Danio rerio: one gene and its partner. The protein of the gene in region 1 interacts with the protein of each later gene in a biochemical or structural test. Links are inferred from orthologs where the notes say so. Each region holds a gene or a part of one and is shown on either strand. Other genes may lie near its edges. The genes, in order: flt4 and vegfd.

The links.
Region 2: the proteins of flt4 (region 1) and vegfd form a complex in vitro, tested with the Homo sapiens proteins (2 studies listed by BioGRID). The link is inferred for Danio rerio from reciprocal best matches to the Homo sapiens genes FLT4 and VEGFD.

The regions. Positions count from the first base shown.
Region 1 is NC_133189.1:18,235,481-18,240,071, forward strand, and holds the start of flt4 (vascular endothelial growth factor receptor 3 precursor), read right to left. Parts: upstream 2,963-4,591; 5' UTR 2,864-2,962; coding exon 2,806-2,863; intron 1-2,805. UniProt on the Homo sapiens protein: Tyrosine-protein kinase that acts as a cell-surface receptor for VEGFC and VEGFD, and plays an essential role in adult lymphangiogenesis and in the development of the vascular network and the cardiovascular system during embryonic development.
Region 2 is NC_133186.1:31,991,005-31,993,865, forward strand, and holds part of vegfd (vascular endothelial growth factor D precursor), read right to left. Parts: intron 494-2,861; coding exon 295-493; intron 206-294; coding exon 15-205; intron 1-14. UniProt on the Homo sapiens protein: Growth factor active in angiogenesis, lymphangiogenesis and endothelial cell growth, stimulating their proliferation and migration and also has effects on the permeability of blood vessels.

The DNA of each region.
Region 1 (4,591 bases):
TTCAGATAGCATTTAGAGATTTTTTCATCTGAAGTCTTTAAATATTACTATGTTTGGTCACTCTGTCAGTATTTTTATAATCTGCCAAAGCAAAAGCCCACAATATTTAGACTATGTCTCCTCAATACTTGTAATTTTAGGTATTAAGCAATTCTAGTGTTATGGATGTGACATATGCAGTAAAAACCTAAAGCATAAATTCACAAAAAAACTATATGTTAACATTATATACTGAAACATCTGTTTATATAACCCATAACTACAGAGTTATGGGATCAGGAAAATATCAATCTGTAAACATATCTTACATTTTAAATGAGGAAAATAAACATGCTTTATAGATGTGACCAATTTTTTTACAGTATAAAAACATTCTGTGAATTAAACTGCACAACCCAAAAGAAAAAATGCAAATCAAAACGATAAAAGTTCTCTCAATAGAACAAAAATGACTGGTTTTATTTTACATTTTGGCATTTATGAAGGAAAAGCTTCATTTTAGATGTGACATCTCTCTGTTATGGATCTTACAGATATGAAATTTGTGTGACTTTGGTAAATCAAATATAATTGTTTGAAAACACTGGCAGAGACATTTTAGAGTATTTTTTGAGTAATGTAAAATACAAACCTACACAAAGCCCTAAAAAAGGTTTCTCTATTTTGGTGGAATTCAGTCTTGTCTGTAGCACCAACTTAATAGATAAACATACTGCTGTGTAAAACTGAAGGCGTAAGGTTATAGCACTGGCCCTATATACACACAATAAACACAGTAATGATATATATTTTTAATTTCACTGCTCTCATAATAACCAGATAGATCGGAATTGGTTGTGATTTCAAAACCCAGCCAGTATATACACAGTATGAGACAATTAGCCCAGCTATTGTAAAACACGTTGCAAAAGTGTGAACTTAAAACATTAAGTCATCATCTGAGGTTTAAAATATGGCTTTACAATCACACTTTACAGCATTCTGCTCCAGTCATATATCAAATTACAAACATTCTGGAGATCTAATGATGAGATATTTGTTTCCGCCAACAGAGTAATGGAGTTTAATCAGCAGAATCTCCAGACAGTAATTACTGTCTATTATACGACACACTACAGATACTGCCTAGAAGGCAATGTTGCAGCCAAAAGAGCTCCTCATGCTGTTACATAATAAACCTGCTTGACACGTTCAAATGTAGTTGACCACTAATTTAAATTCTGCTCTTCATATCAGCTTCACAAGGTATTCTGAAAAAGTAGGTAATTTGGAAAGCCATGCTGCTTAAAGGTATTCTAACATTTTGGACATACTGTAGCGCTTGTTATGACAAAGCAGTCAAGCACAGGGACACCAAGCTGCCATGTGGTTTTGATTTTGTGCAGTGTTTTAATAAAGACATCTATAAGTGTGGTTCTTATAGCTGTAGATTCCTAGCATTGAGAAAATTCTCATCCTTTTGCCAAAATCTATAGAAGAGGTGCTACAGTATTTGATGTGTAACCTGCCAACATGCTGGAAGAATTAGTTTTACAACCCTTCCAATCTCAATATATGACACCTGCACTGGCTGAGACTCTTAAGTATCTCTTTTAGTTGGGATTCACTGCAAAATGAACTTCTTTCTTCACCACTAGCATGAAAAAGGGATTTTTGAGAGCAGTGCAGTGAGGAGAAAAGTGGGTTTCTGCTGTCTCAAACAGCTCAGTATTATGATTGGCTGATATCACACCCCCTGACTGAGGGTCTGGTTTCAGAGGTGTTCTGTTGGAATAATACTGTGTACATAAGAAATACCACAGCAAAAAATAATAATATGCGGGATATCGATAACAGAAAACATTAGGAAATACCATGACGATTAAGGTCAAAATAAAAACATGATTTTGCATCTGCCACAAAAAAAAGATTATTCCTGTCAATGCAAAAGTCATTGTGGCTTCTAATTAGCATATTTGATGGATCACAGCTTATCATTCTCATGTCATGCAACTCAACTGCTTTATTAAAACTGTGTCTGGCTACATTGCAGTCTGGAGTTTTAATTCCATCCCATTAGTAATACCAATTAACAAAAGGCATTCACCTTTCATGTATAACCACAAGGCTCCCTCTAGTGATGTGTCATATAGTACTTTCGTTGAGGGAAAAAGTAAATTAAACTGCAGACATTGCAATGATTGCTCGTGTGAAGGAGAACAGCAGTGCGGTGATTGTAATGAACTATGCATAGCCTAACTAAAGGCGAACAGTCGTGAGATGCACAGAAGGACAGAAAGTCAAGTAGAATTAAAAGTACATACAAATTCATAGACTCTGCTTTAAACCTCATGCAAGAATTATGAATTTTGTGAGTTATGAATAGAGCTAGTCTACTTGATGTCTTCGATTCATTAATCTTTTAAATTGTTTTAATACCTGATTATGGTTCAAATTGTGTAGCTAATTGGTGGTTATGACTGGTGTTAATAAATTACTAATGATAAATGAGAGGATAATTATTAGGCACAATTATGAAGAAAAAAAGTTATACAAAAGAAAACTTTTGCTGAAGTAGGTTAATACAAAACTTGAGCAACTCGGGAAAAGCTCCCGACAAACTTTCATGAAAACTTGAGTTTTAAAAGGCGACAAAATTCAAACGGTCACATTAATGCGAACCTTTCGCGCTCTTTCAGTTTTGATAGTTGTTCATGAAGTGAATGTTCTGACATTGCCTCTTTTTAAATGAAACAAAGAGTTTAAATTTTGCCGCGTTCTATTATGACAACAAACTTCGAAGTGTTTAGGAAAATGCGTTCTCACCTGAGAAGAAGGGAATCCCAATCCAAATCCGACAGAAAAACGTAAAATCTCTCTTCATTTCCAGGTTTCCAGTCCTCCGGGGTTTTAGATATTCTAGCAAACCTGCGCGTTTTCTGATGTCATTTAATAAAGCCAACAGAAGCACCTCAGAATCAGGTGAAACCCAAAGAAGCGTCTCTGCAAGAGGATGTGCCACAGGACGACGGGAATAAAACGCTCTTTTTCCTGTTGAAAAGAGAATCCCGAAGTTCTGAATGGATTTACAATCATTTCCTTTTCCTCTGACTCACTCATCTGCCTCCTTTCGTTCATAAACGCCCGTGTCCTCCTCAGTGATAATACTATTACTCCCCCAGTCTGAAGTGTCACATAAAGTGTCTGGCCCCTGTGCTGTAAGTTTTAACTGACAATGCCTTCTGAAGACCAGCAGTTCATTTGCGTCCACTATAGTGGACATATGGTTTGTGTTAATATTACCGAGGTCTTAAATGCCACTGTTTGAAGTTCTGATATGCAGGATTTCTGTGATAAAAATTGGCTGAAGTTGAAGAGTTGGTCTAGTGAGAATAATTGCCATGGTCTGATACTGAAAAGGCTACATCTCAACAGTGAATTGTTCCACACTCCCAGTTGTGATTTTTGAGGAAATTGTTCATCCAGCAATGAAAAAAAAAAAAAGGTTTTGATAATAATAAAAAAATGCAAGTCAATGGCTGCTGGATTTTTGACAACCAAATGTAAATAAATAAATAACAAATTAATTAAATAACAAGTTGTGGCTCCTGAAGATACATTGGCTGTATCTGAAAGCTTATAGGATGCTGACTTGTTGCCAGTATTTCAGCATGGCACCTCGTAAAACAGATTTCAGACTTCTGAGACAACATAATGATTTAAACACATACAATAAAATAGAGAGAGCTTTGGTGATATAACCAGGGCTAGACAGAAACTGTATACATGTTTTGCTATTTCTGCGCAGAATTTTATTTGCAGTATCTATAGATTCATGCTGAATAATTATGGGAGTATAGTAACTAAAAGCTTAACGTGAAAAAAATAATAATGTTTTTTTAACTTAATGTTTACAGTGCAAATCCAATGAGATCAATTTGTTTGGTAAACAAAGCATTCTCTCCTATAAATGTATTTAACAGAAGATTAATAGTAAAGGAAACATATTACTTTACAAACTGTTTTGTAAATAAATCATAAACATTTGCACATTAGTTAATAAAATTACTGAAATGATTATAAAAACCGAGGTCCCACTTTATTTTAGGTGACCCTAATAAATATGTATTTACATTATAAATTAATAATTTGCTACAATGTTCTTGTGTAAATGTTTTTACATTGCATTTATGACTGATTAAACCTGCATGTAATCTGTTATTAATTTCTGTAATTGCATTGGTAATTACACTGTAGACCATTCTTTACACCTTCTTCCACCCTTAAACCTATCCATGGCCATAACCTAACAAACCTTTTCCTAACCTTACCTGTATCCATCCTCAAAAGCACCAGAAGTGTTCTGCAATACATTATGAACACAGTAAGTACATTGTATTAATTTTTTGATGCAAGTAGAAAGTAGTTAAGGCCACTTCATATAAAGTGGGACCAAAACTGAATATTTACACACATTTACATATAAATGAATATGCTCGATGGACTAAAAAACGTATCTGCAGATTTCAGTGCATGCAGATTTAATGTGAACCTAGTGATAATGAAAGGAACATTTGATAACTACAATAGTCACAAAATTAAAAAGTTGGTC
Region 2 (2,861 bases), on another chromosome or scaffold:
TGAGTAGTGCTCACAGTTTTATTGACATAAGTCATGCTTGTATTACGGCAGGTAACTCCCTCTTTGTTGCAGCAGCCGCCACACCTGAAGACAGAGACGCATGGGGGCTTAAAAAACACAGCTGTATTGGTTCCCAGTTCTTTAGCCACATCAACACATGTCTCTCTCGGCATACACTGTGTTTTCTGCCATTCGTCATCAATATCTGAAAAACAGATTAGTTTATACATTTAGCATGACGTTGCTTTCACAATTATGCATTTAGACATCAGACATTTCAAAGAAGATCATAACCTTTAAGCATCTCTGGGCTGAACGATGCGGCTGCATATCGAGTTGACCTGCGGTTCTCAGGTGGGGTAACGTCATCGAAGTGCTTCAGCTTGAGTCTGCATCTCCACAACTTCCAGTCCGGGTATTCGGTCAACATCAGAAGCTCATCCAGACTCCCGGCTTCCCTCAGTTCCTGCTCCCACTTTTCCTGATTTGTGTCCTGTGGAGATATATAATCTTGAGTCTAAAAAAAGTGCTGGGACTGCTGATTTTAATACAACAATGGAAAATTTTTTCGAGGAATAGGGCCTGAGGCATGTTGAGTAAAATTCGGCCAAAGAAAAAGCAATGGAAGAGCAATGCGGAAGTTCGAGAAATGATTTGAAATAATGATGTAATACTTCACAAATTAGAAACACCTTTTTTCTTCACTTAACAACCCACTATAAAGACTTGCATCATTCAAACTCCCTGCTGTTTGTGAGGTGTGTGAAGTCCTGCCATGGTAAAAGGCGAACTGGAAGGATTTAATCACTAACGCATGACCAGATCTACTTGTATCCACTAGAGGGCGGTAGCGATAATCAATGATAAATCCTCTGCATTTTTTTGGCTGTGCAAAGAATCAGTATTACACCAGGGAAAGGATGCAGCTGTTCCTTGTGTGGTTCTGCTATAATTTATATACCAAGTTATAGACTCGCATGATTTATTGCCAATCCTTTTTGACATGACTAGGCAACCTTCAGCACGGCTTAAAGAACTCTATGGTAATATGACGCAGTTTTAAAGCACTGTGGACTGGACAGCCATATACTACCTGTGAGACCTACTGGATCTTCATAATCTCTAGGACCTAATCTGGAGGACCATAAAGTTCAAGTTTTCTTTTCTGAAACCAGGTTGTGTAGCCAATCACATGGAACACCCTCTGGCAGAGGCCCACTCTAAACAACTGCAGCATAAGCTCTATTAGCTCAGTATGGACCACCTGTTTAGAAGCTCAGTGAAGACACAGATCCTAGGGATTGGAGTTTGGGATGCTTGCCACCAATATGAGCAGAAGATCATGGCTGTTTTGCAAAACATGAATTGAATAACTACTAAGTGCCCGGTGACAGCTGCACAATAACCTTTACAAAGTCACAAGCGGTCAGTCTTTCAGTAGGCAGTGCCAATGCTGATACCTTGAGAGAGTCGAGTAAATAATGTGAAATAATGCCAAAGATTGTGTGTGTGTGTATGTATGTATGTATATATATATATATATATATATATATATATATATATATATATATATATATATATATAAATATATATATATATATATATATATATATATACATATATATATATATATATACATATATATATATATATATATATATATATATATATATATATATATATATATATATATATATATATATTAGTGAAAATCTCAGTAACAAATTGGCATGCAACCAACAATCTTATAAATATTAAACCTCTATAGATGCAATGATTATAGATTTTGGTTATATGATTATAGTCTGAGAAATAATCACGATGGTTATTACTGTTATCATGCATTTATTAATTTCAAAACACTACTAGTTTAGGAAACTACATGAACATTTATATTTTAAATTGTTATATATTGTGGCTCAGTAACTAAATAACACAGCAGAAAATAATACCCAGCAGACACACAACATCATAAGACATATGGATTTAGGTCAACAGCTTTTAAGGACAATGTTATTTTGAAGTTCAATAATGACATGAAATAAAGTTGATATTTGGTTGATTTTAGTTTGTGTTGGAAAGTGACCAAAATCTAACGTTGAGCCAACATCTTAAACCAACGTCATATAGATGATAAATACTGACATTTATTTATCAGGTATGGCAACCAAAATCCAATGTCTGATAAACGTCATAGTGTAAAACATCCACACAACGTCAAGGTGTAATAAGATTAGATGTTGATATTTTGTTGTATTTAGGTTGTGTTAGAAAGTAAGCAAAATGCATGTTTGTCCAATGTTGGAAATTGATGTTGGCCTGACATTGGTTCTGATGTCAACTCGATTTTCATTTTCAATCAAAATGCAACGTCCCACGACGTTGGGGTACAATCTGATGTCATGTTGATGTCCTGTGCCTGCTGGGTAATAACAAAAACAAACAATAGTCCATTTCTTTTTGGACTTAAAAAGAAGTGACATTTAAACAAAAGTAATAATTTTACACTGAAAATAAATACAAATAAAAACCAATTAAAAATATTTGTTTAATACAAATCTAAGCTACATATTAGCAAAGTATTTCCTCTTTTAAAAATGTAGTCAAAGGCTGCTGAACCTCTGTTTGAAAGGCACTTTAAATCAACTATTACAAAATTATTTGGTATTTTCATTTCACAAAGTACTAATCTGATCGATCTATTCGTCATGTGATTTGTGGTGTGCTTGCAGTATTCTTAAAAATGTAAATGTTTTCAACTAGGCGTGCCTGGAAAGTGCAAGCATGTCGCTCCGCATGCATTGAAAAAAAATGAACTTGTGCATGCAAAAGAAACTCATTATATGTTGTGTATTGTTGAA